Linked DNA regions of Drosophila melanogaster. The gene in region 2 interacts genetically with the main gene of each other region. Each region holds a gene or a part of one and is shown on either strand. Other genes may lie near its edges. The genes, in order: lilli, gcm and mid.

Region 1 (3,770 bases), 6.7 Mb from region 2:
TTAGGAAGAAAGCATGGGTTGTTGCGTACGTGATTAAAGTCATATTTCTAATTCGAAGTACAAAAACAATTAAATACTGCAATTATCTATTTCGATATTATCAATATAAATATTGAATACAATACATTGTTTAGAAAGTAGAAAATGGAGTAATCAATGTTAACATTAAGAGAATTCCAACCACAATGGTATTTTCGCTTTATTCTGACGGCATTGGCCATATTTATTTCATCAGTTGGCAAAGCATCTCTGGGTTCGCGAACAAACACAATAGTATTTAAGTTTGTCGATTATTTTCAACGTTTGGGCGAATGGACGTGGACTATTGGAATGTCGGCTTTCAAACAAATAACAATTGTTCTTATCAGAATTGCTTGAGGTGTGTGTGCGTGTGACTCTCTCTCCCCCTCCTACTTATAGCATTTGCATTCTCCTTGTTGAGCCGATAGTGTCCTTTCACCCTTTTTTACTTGGAGTATACAAGTATTGGTATTTTTCTGCGTTTCAGTTATTCTTTTTAAGGCAAACACCTACCTAAATAATTGATAAAAACAAAAAGCTAGCAAACCCAAACACACACACACACACGCACGCACACAGCGACGGAAAGAGCGCATGAGAGAGGAATTGTCCGTCTGGCATTTTGACGTTTATTACTTTGCCTGTATTGTTGTTGCTGCTGCCTTTGCATTGCCTCTTTTTTTGTTGCCTTTGCGCGCGAATTCGCTGCGCATAGCAAATTAAAATTAAAAGTTTGCGAGAGCGAGAGAGTGCAACAAAAAAGCAGGGAAAAAATATCAAAATTAATTTCTTTTCGGCGTGGCGGGAGAGAGAAGGACAGAGCGGAGAGAGAGAGGGAGAACGAGCAAAAAAGAGAGAGAGAGCGCGCGACGACATGACGAACTTTTGACACATTTTGTTTATAACAATTGTCTGCTTTTTGCACTTACCTCTTTTTCGTTTGCTTCAATTGCTCCTCTCTGCTGGTGACTACAACTTAATATTGTTTTGTGTGCGAAATCAGAAATGCCAGTTTAAACATTATTTAACACAAATACGTTTACGCACACTAGCATATATGCTGTAGTAATTTGTTGTTGTTGCTGTGCTGTTGGTGGTGGTGGCGATGGTGATAAAGCCTTGCCGTTTTAGACGATTTCTGGTCTCCTCGCATTAAATATGTTTAGTTTCCATTACTGTTTGTTGTTGTTGTGATTGTTGTTATGTGGTGTATTAATAAAAAACGTACGCGAACTGCAGTCAAAGTCACTCACACTCACACTCACACGCACGCACACACTGGCACACGGCATACGGCACACACAAACGCACGCACGCACACACACAGCAACTAGTAATTCTGCTGTGCGAAAGAGACAACATGAGAGCGCTTACGAAAAAAATGTTTGTGTAAGTTTCCCCGAAAACGCGATTTCATCCGGAAAATGCACTGCGCTCGCATTTCGCCTCCGCCGCGTTGGCCATTTAATCACTTTATATGGTTCCGTTTCGATTGCATTGTTTTTAGTAGGGGTTTTTAACCGAAATTTAGTTGCGTGTTTTGTGTTGGTGCAGAGAGAGCAGGAAAATACACATATCGTTATCGATGGGTCGGCTATCGATACGGCAACTATCGCCCAGCTGATTGGCGGGCGATCAGCTGTGCGACGATAGGTCCAGTTCTGGAAAATGTCGGTACCGCATATTTGCTAAAAATTTCGATTTTCTCTTACTTAATGAATGATTTTTGGAACCGGTTTGTCTAACGATCTGAGTTTTATCTAGCAATGTGTTTATCCGAGCGTTTTTGAAAATTCATAAGCAGTTTTCAGTGTTGGTTTTCAACACTGGTTTCTTATCTCAATGTCTAATCCAGAAAACCCAATTTTGGAATGGGCAAGTATCTTAATGGGAAATATGATATACCTATATAATCTAATCTACACTTAGCTTGAATGAATATCTATTGAATCCAATTATCTTATTTGTCGGTACAAAATAATGATAAGAATCTACGAATGAATCTATGATAAATCCTTATTGATTTAAATAGCGGATTAAGGCACAACGAATCCTCTAATATATGTCAATTATAGTACTATGCACTGGATTTCTGCACCTGTTATCAGAATTCCGTTAAGAAGTATACTTATCAAAATCGAATAATTTCACAATTTTAAATATTTCTATGTTATCCACATCAATTTTTGGCATCCCTGCCGCCCCCGCAGTGTGGCCGTATGCGCTGATAGTGGGCGCCGCAGCGAACAGCTGATAGGGCTGCAGCATATAAATGAGCAGGTGGTAAATAAATGTTTTTAGTTGATTCCAAGACGCCATTCCGTGCGCGTTGGCTTCCTGATCAGAGTTTATCATTCGGCGGGCGCGGCCATCATTAGATTAGATCGACATTAGTGCGTTCCGCTCGGCGATCGGCAGCAATCGATCCGAAATAAACAAACGCTCGCGTATTTACATAATTTAAGTGAAAAGTAACGACGACAGAATGACGAACACCGATGTGCGAAAGAGAAAAGTAAGGAAAAGGTCAAAAGGGCAATCCACAGCACAAATTTAATGCCAATTTCATGGCGCTCTCTCACACACACACGCACACATGCGAATTCCTCAAATTGCTGCTCTTTTGACGCGGAAGTAAAACATCAAATGACTCGCAGAATAATCGTTTCAAGTTCTATTCTATTCGATTGTGCCAATTTGTATCTGAAAATGTATGTTTACAAGACATTTAAATATAGATACGCAATGGCCGCTAAGCACGCTTTTGTTAACAATTATGCAAATTTTGATTTTAGTTACGAAAGAGATGACTAGTGGGTTTTCTATCAACATCTTAATGCCGGCCGGTTTATTTTGAAATATTTTCGTATTCGCATTAGGGTGACCAGTCAGCAGGAACTTTCTCATTTGCAAGGTCATTAGGGGGGGCTGATAAAAAAAAAGCATAGAAAAGTCCAACGATTCAGTTGGCAGCCGTTTCGACCGAATCTCGCTAGACAACTTTTGCAATCGCTTTCTCGCATCGGAACCCAAAGATCACAGGTACACATAGAGTGTCCCATTTCGGGGGCGATTGGATCGCATAGTTTCGACTGATTTGCATCGCAAGTGGGTGGAGAACAGGATGCGGGCAAACCGGAACCGGTTGCAAGTGAGTGCAGATAGTGCCTGGCTGCTAACGTGGCCTTAACCCTCGTGTACCTACGTGTACTCGGTACTACAATATATACTAGATACTTTTGTATCTAACTCGATATTTGTTGTTTTCACAACATCTGTGTCTAAACTTATCAGCATTTTCTAGATAGCACACTTCTACCAGCTTTCAATGTTTGTATCTTTCAACTCATTTTGTGCGTCATATTTATATATTTCAAGATACATTTATCAATTAGGGTTCTTTAAGACTTAAGATTTACTTTTCAGCTGATGCAAAATAGTGTTCGGCTTCGAAATAAATGAGTTATCTATAGAACCGATTAAAGTATTCCCCTTTATAAATGGGGAGCAGGCTTCTTAGTCACTAGATCGGCACAAAAGGCGCCTTTTATCAGTAGATTTATTGATTGCAGTAGCGTGCGCCTGGAAACATATGCGTTAAGTTCACACCCTGAATGTTTAATGAGTTTCACTTATGCCAACAGTGTAATTATTGGGAAGTAGTATGTGTATTCGAAACTAATGGGTGTACTTGATTGTATAGATATAGATATATATACCATCTACCTGTCAACTCCATTACTGCTTAA
Region 2 (3,728 bases):
TATACTGACAATGATTACGAGCTCCCTTGCTTGACACGTGTCAATTCTCAAAAAAAGGCTGCTTCGATTAAGTTTTTCTTTCAAAAATGTTTATTACTACAAAAAAGTTCATAAATAGGTGGGAAATGTGACTTAAAACTCTATGTGCTTAAGAATACTATTACTCTTACGTGCTCTAAAACTTTGGAATAGCTGGGAAACAAGTACAAAAGTACAAACTAGAAACGTTCAATATATAATAATACACGACCAACAAGCAATGGGAACATGAATGGAAATCAATCAACTAGGGACTAGAACAACGCTTGAGTGGCTCAGTAATAGTAGTTGCGATGAGAGATCTTATCCCGATCCCCTAGCAATAGATGGGATCCGTGCTGTTGACTGGGTGATATGTCGCGTCCATTTGAATGTTCCACGAGTTGTCCACTCCCGTATTGCTGTAGTAGTAGTCGGCGGACTGCATCTGATCCTGCGGCTCCTGTTGATAATTGGTGAGATGCGGAAAAGTTCCCTGTTGCTGATGTTGCTGATAGGCGGTTGCTTCGTCGTAGATGAGATCCACGCCACTGGTCCCTCCGCCATTCAGAGTTGACTCAAACACACTGAAGATCTCCGAGCTGGTTGTGTAGAAACTTGCATCCTGGCTAAGATTCTGGCTTTGGCTTCCATTGCTCACGTCCAGCGAGTTGGGTAGATATCCATTGTAGTAGCCATAATCCTCGGAACAGTAGCCCGAGCTGCTGGTCAAACTGGACGTATCGTCGCATATTTCATACGAAGGCATTCCGCACTGAAGGCTGGAGGAGATTGGCTGGCTGGGATCATAGCTGACTGGTACATGTTGCTGCGGTGAGAGTTGCTGCTGGTATTGTGAGTGCTGCAGTTGCTGCGGTTTGTTCTCCTGGTAATAACTGCCCGTGGAGCTATGCGCTGAGAGAGGTGAGTGGAGCATATCGTAGGAGTACATTCCATTGGCATAGCATGGATCCTCCGTTTCGTAGTGAATCTCTCTATTCCACTGACTGATCACTGATCCTTGTCCTGCTGGGACATATGAACCCTGAGATTGATTAAAGTTGGTGCTATGTGTGGGCGTCGATGTGGGCAGGTAGGTGGTGGGTGGCACCACTAACTCCTGCTTGGTTTCGAGCACATCGGAAGCACCCATCCTTCTGCGCTTGCTCTCCTGGATGGACTGAGTCTTGGCCTGCCGTTTTGTGGGTCTCAGGCTACTCAGCTTGTCGCTCAGCGCCGATTCCCTGGCCAACATTACGGCCAAACTTCGCACACGTCTTCCTCCTGCCAAAAGTCGCCTGGCTTCCGTGGATCCCTTGGCTTCGGGTCTGGGGTGATCGTGGGTGCCCTTGGCCTGGAAATAGATTCCATTTCCGTCCCTGCGCCAGAAGTGGGTCACTGGATAGCCGCAGTGGCCGCGGCAAGCCTGGATTTCCAAGCGACCATTGCAATTTCTGTCAAGAAAAAAAAATAAAAATACCGAGTTAGTTTTGACAATTCTTGGATTTTGTGTTTAGTCAAAAACCCACCTATTGGGACACTGTTTGCCCTGCTGCTTCCTTCTGGCCTTGTCGCAAATGGCGGGTCTCAGATGCACACTGGCTCCATTGGGCAACTTGCACTTGGCACTGCAGAGGAGCACTCCCAGGCAGCTCTTCTTTAGGATATTCACGTTGTGGTTGTTGGTGTTTCGCATGGCCCAACCGCTGGCATGTTTCCTGGCCTCATCACTCTGCACGGAGTAGATGAGCCGGCAATGTCCGTTGGACCAGTCATTGAAATCGTCAAACTCCCCCACCGACGGCATCTTGGAATCGTTGATGTCCCAGTCGATCGCCACCCGGGACTTGGTGGCCGGAGGACTGGGCACAGGCATGGGCACTGGCATCGGTACTGGCATTGTTATAGGCATGCCGTTCAAAACCATTTTTGATGTGTCTATGTAATCGTTAGTTTCAAGTTCACACGCGGTCACTATAGTTTTCCTTCTCAATAGTCTATTACTACTGTGTACTTCTTCTCAACTTTTCTCTGGAGCGACGCGTCCGTTCGCATCGACTGCGCAAGGCTGACTAACTGGGCCCGCTCTGCGCAGCACAGTTAAGTTGCCAGCGGTCGAATCGCACGAGGGTTGCTCGGTCGCAAAGCGGTACGCCCATTGGTCCATGCTGACTTCCAGTTCGGGTGCGCTTGTGTGCGGCTTATCCGCCTTATCCGGCACTCCAGTTTGGGAAATTAGGAGAGTTCCCGAGCAGGTTTGATTGGTAGTAGTGGTAGCAGCAGCTGGAGATGGAGAATTCGTTCTATAGGGAACTGGGAGCTGGGAGAGCTTGAGCACAGGGAGCTGGGAGCTGGGAACTGGCAACTGGGCAGGGAGACGAGTGCTGTGCTGCTCTAGCACCTGCGGTTGCAGCACGCGCTCCACTGGGTAATTGTACGATATGAGAACCAGGGGTTTGAGGCACTCGATGGCAAAGAACACGGCCCCAACCCCAGTCAAAGCTAATTAAGTTCAGAAAAAAAGTTTACAACATCAGTAATGGAAATGGAGATGGGGATGGGGCTGTGTGTGGATGGGGATGTGCTGTATGGCATGGGTTCTGATGGGTACACCTGGCGACAGTCACTGGCAGATGCCAGTGGTCGGGCCTATTTACTTTCGAACTGGATGTGGATGTCGAAATGGGGAGCAAAGTGAAATGGTTGGAGGGCAAGCAGAGTTACGAACAAAATGGAGATGGTTCCAACGAAGCACGGAAAGTAATTTAGTTCAAGGCTTTAAGACTTTTTTAATGCGGACATTAAAGCTGCTAAATCTACTTAACTTCAGAGGTAGAAATTATTCTGTAAAAAAATTTCAAAATCAAACGTAAATTTTAATGGAAATGACTCACAGAAATATAGAAATATTACCACTATATATAGTCACTATTATAGAATTTGGTAAGGCAACGGTATAGCTAACGGAACTACTTCTCACGATCTCAAAATCGATAAAGAAATAAACGTTTGCAAAAAAAGAAACCGAAATGTCGAGCTCCTGCCGATATCTTCAAGATGAAATCAGGGATCTCATAATCGTAAAACACAATTTAGCACGCAAAAAAACGGAAATCAAAAAGAAGAAATCCCATATTGGAAAACCTCCCCTACAAACCCAAAGGCAAATGCCATAACTCACGCATATGAATGAAGCAAAGTTTGCCAAACAAATTCCTTGGGCCCCTTGGCGATCTCAAGTCAGAGATAAACGAAACAAACATAATCATTAAGATGACGAAAGGGTGAGGAAACTCCATAATTTTCACACTTCCACGACAGACCAAATGCCATGCAATTATGACACGAACTGAGCGAGCAACCCGCGGCGCCTTTCTGCCAAGGAGTCGCCCAAAGATCAGGATCGTAGCACGCGATAGGAACTCAAAGGATTACGGCGGACAATGGGAAAGGGTGCTCCGACCGGGACTCGAGGGGCGTTGACACAGAAGAAAGTCATGACGTGGCATATTATGAGGCTGTGCTGGGGAAGCACATCCTACCTGGTCCCAGATTCCCGCACTCAAGGTGGGTGTGTCGCCTTAATGATGCCCGGAATTAACTGTTCCGTTTCAATTACGAGACATCACTTGGCAATCAAATTTATTTGACACTTTCTCTGCGGGGGCCAGTGGAGAACAGAACTCTTTTCTTTCCCAATGAAACTCAGT
Region 3 (3,770 bases), 4.1 Mb from region 2:
TCGGCCAAATTCAAAGTGAAAGTATTCGATTACCCAAAGCGATCGTTAAGTGAGAAAGGGAAAAGTATCGAAGAAATTATAAATTGCCGACAAAGCCGAGGGCCAAATACTTGAGATTTCGAGAGGGAAAGGACATAACAAGGAGAAAGTCAAACGAGGACAGTTAGCCGCACTAATTAACAAGCAGAATTGTTTATTTTTACAAGTGCCAAGTGGCCACTTTTTTTTCAGATCGACCGCCCTTTGTTTTCACAACTTGTGTTTTCCTTGGCTTTTGACATTTTGGTGACATACGGGACTGCCACCTAAAAAGACACACATGTAGATGCACAGACAAGGCCAACATATTAGGAACATAGGCTCTTTTTATGAAAGGAAGTGTAAACCTTTTTCTAGAATCAAAGTATGCACTCTACTTTTTAGAACCAGCGTTCTTGTGTCATAAAATTGTATTTAAAGTTATCCCAATCTATAATGCTATCGTCCGTTTTGCTTTTGAATTTGTTAATGCTGATAAAACATTTTATAGCTATCAACTTAACTGCAATTGTAACCAGAACACACACGACGCATCCCTCCCCGTCCACTTTCACCATTTCTCCCAGGGCGAAAGTGTCAAAGTGACATGCCCACTTTGTCGCTACCCGACTTAAAAAATGTCTCAAATTACAAAAATCACACAACAAGACGGTTTGTTCCTCGCACAGGATAAGCGGGATTAGTCAGCTTGTTAGTTAGTTTGGATCTCCGCGTTCCGTTTTTCAGGATCGCAGGATTTCCGTCATGGCAATTGGCAATCCGAGCAATACGTAATGAATGTGACGAACTGTCAGTTGTTTCGAGTTTCCTTGTCGCAGCCGCATTTTCTTTGCATTTTTTAGCGGGTTAATTGGCACTGACAAAGGTCTTGACTTTTGCCTGGGAAACATAACAATTTGTTGACATCTGTAAATATTATGGGGGAATTTTCCAGAGGACTAGCTTCTATCATACAGCGTGTGGAATTGTATATAATTACTAACGGAAAAATATCCCTGTTAACTTTTTGAATCGCCATAATCTAAATTTCATGATCATATCCTCTTGAATATAAAAAAATATAGCTTTACAAATAAAAATGTCTTGACTAATGCTTATAGATATACTATGTTTTCAAATGGACTTCTATAATATGTACTAAGCGAATTGTTTAAAATATGTTCTTCCCTTTACCGAAATAAATTCAAATTGCATATACATTTTAAATAAACTTGTAGTTATTTTCGCACTCTTTATTCATGTTTTTAGAGCACAGAAAAATTTCTCGAGCTCAAACTAATAAATTCCCAACGTCCCATTGCAATAACCTTGACTCAAGGTCCATGTCCTTGCAGATAAATAAGAAAGGAAAAACAACGGGATGCAACTGCAGAAAAAAAACAGAGACATAAAACTCACTCAAAACAGAATTGAGTGAGACACGGAACGTGTTGGAAACGAAATGGAACAGACGGAAGATGGAAGAAAACGTCAGAAGAGGAGATAACAGGAAATGGAATGCGACGACAACGGCGAAAAGTTGTTTAAAAAAAAAGACCAAGAAAAACCGCAAGCAAAACGTTGGCACTTCATAAATGGGCGAGAAAGAGAGGCAAAAATAAAAAGAAAGAGACCTCGCTATGGAGAAATAGAGAGGTGCGAGGGAGAAGGCCAAAAGCGCCGACATTTTTAATTGTAAATGAGTTATGACGCGTTCGTCAGAGAGAGAGGTGAGGCGAAGAAAAGAGAGGGGCGCAAGTTGCTGACAGCGCCGCCTTTCTCTCTGTCGCACGTTCACTCCCCCGCCGATTTTCCAATTGGAAAACGAGAGAGCGAGTGGCGTTTTCACTCAGAGTGTGCGGCTATAGGGCTATCCCGCTTGCACTCGTACTGGCGCGGCTCGCTGTAGGGTGGTCTCGCTTGCACACATAGGGACCATAAGAGGAATAACTGGTTTCCCGAGTTTTGCGCCTGCCGTCGTTTTTGGCTTCTCAGCGGCAACATTTTCCTGACACAATTCAGTTCGTCGTCGCCTGCCTTCCGTTGCGCACACACTCAGTCCGCGAGATTCTCAGTTCGCGTGCGCCAAAGATAAGCAAAAGAAAGCAAGAGAGATATAAAGATACAAGATACTTACACCTTGAAACATACACATACCCCTCGAGTTACCAAAGCTAAAGATGCATCTAGCTTTATAAGTGCCAAGTGTTGAAAAGTGACCAGATACAATACCCCAATACCTTTCCAAGGTATTCCCTAGTTAAAGCCCCATTAAGAACAACATCATACCCTTCAAAATGCTGGTTGGATCTCATCCGTATTTGTGCAACGGGGTGCCCGCCGCCCCTGCAGCACCAAATGCCAGTGGACAGACAACAACAACGGCTAGCAAAAGTGCCGCCGGCTCAGCGACGGACTTTTCCATCGCCGCCATCATGGCTCGCGAAGATGCCTCCAGTCGGGAGTCCTCCATTCGCAGTGCAAGTAAGTTCAGATACATATTGAAAATATCCTTAATAAGAAAGGAATTCTGTGGGAAGCGGCAGAATCATTAATCGGTTGATAGGAACAATTTGTTCTTAAAAATATATTTTTATGCATTAGAAATTTAATGCCTTGAATATTAAGCATTTCGATTATATAGTGATTTTTAAACAAGATTTTTTTAGGCTTAACAGACTTACAGCAAGATTCATTGATGAGATGTAGAATATCTTTAAGATACTTTCATTTCTGTAGTCTCAAATACCATAGGGTACTTTTGTTTAGAACTTCATTTGACAAGCTATAAGTTCCCTAATTCAACAATCTTTAATCATAGTAGGTAGTTGTAACTTTAGATATTCACTTATCTCCTAGCAGTGCTTTCTGTACAAAAACTTACTTAACATACCAGCACACAATAACTAGAAATTGCTAAAACAAAAATGGAATTTTTATACGATTAATTCAAATTAAACGTGATTAACAACTCAACGCCCAAGAAGAGAACCGCAAACTTGACCAGCGAATGCAAACATTATTAGCCACAAGACAATCGCTAATTGATTGCACAACAAATCTATTAAATTACTGTTGTCGCTTTGGGTGCGCAGAGTTCCATTTAATTGCTAATGACAATTAGCAGGCGTTCCGGCCACGTTAAAAAAGAAAAAACTAGTTCTCTCTGGCCGACGGCATTCGCAATTAAGTCGAGCCAAAGATCGCGAATCCAGATATTTGTTAGCAAACACTTGCAGCGCTCTTTTGTGGCCGATATTATGATAATATGCAAATTGTGCACAGCATCTAATCGCGCGGAATTCATATTTAACAAAGGCTGCTAATTATGTTAATTAATTTTCAACAATGTGCTTCATTTTATTAATTTTACGAGGCGCAGAAAATTAGCGACGGCCGAAATCAAAACAAAAACGCTACGAGGTGTTCGTATTTTACGATCTCTTTATCAAATATGCAGCTTTTTTAATTTCATATTTTGTTTTGTTTTTTTTGTTTTCTGTGGTCGCTTTCCGTTTTCCGTTTGCTTACTTTGCATTTTAACACCTACCGTCTGGGCTCACCTGCAAAAAAACCGGGCTGCTTAGTTCTCCCCATCATTTTGTTACCATTTTCGGCTTATGGAAAATGGAAAGCGTATGTGAGAGTTCGCCCATGGATAAGCCCAAAAATATTATTCATCAACTTTTGCGCACACACCTTGAACGAAAGCCCTCCGCTTTTGTTTATGCAATGGAAAAGAGCAATCGCAG

Evidence for each region.
Region 1: of gcm (region 2) and lilli, changing one suppresses a phenotype caused by changing the other (phenotypic suppression), as found in Drosophila melanogaster (one study listed by BioGRID).
Region 3: of gcm (region 2) and mid, changing one suppresses a phenotype caused by changing the other (phenotypic suppression), as found in Drosophila melanogaster (one study listed by BioGRID).

What each region holds. Positions count from the first base shown.
Region 1 is NT_033779.5:2,883,759-2,887,528, reverse strand, and holds the start of lilli (lilliputian), read right to left. Parts: upstream 1,601-3,770; 5' UTR 951-1,600; intron 1-950. Other genes in the region: NTPase, read left to right, coding at 2,507-2,536. UniProt on the Drosophila melanogaster protein: Has a role in transcriptional regulation. Acts in parallel with the Ras/MAPK and the PI3K/PKB pathways in the control of cell identity and cellular growth.
Region 2 is NT_033779.5:9,579,648-9,583,375, forward strand, and holds the start of gcm (glial cells missing), read right to left. Parts: upstream 2,099-3,728; 5' UTR 1,946-2,098; coding exon 1,548-1,945; intron 1,473-1,547; coding exon 356-1,472; 3' UTR 1-355. UniProt on the Drosophila melanogaster protein: Transcription factor that induces gliogenesis. It determines the choice between glial and neuronal fates. Also has a role in the differentiation of the plasmatocyte/macrophage lineage of hemocytes.
Region 3 is NT_033779.5:5,459,603-5,463,372, forward strand, and holds the start of mid (midline), read left to right. Parts: upstream 1-2,036; 5' UTR 2,037-2,315; coding exon 2,316-2,502; intron 2,503-3,770.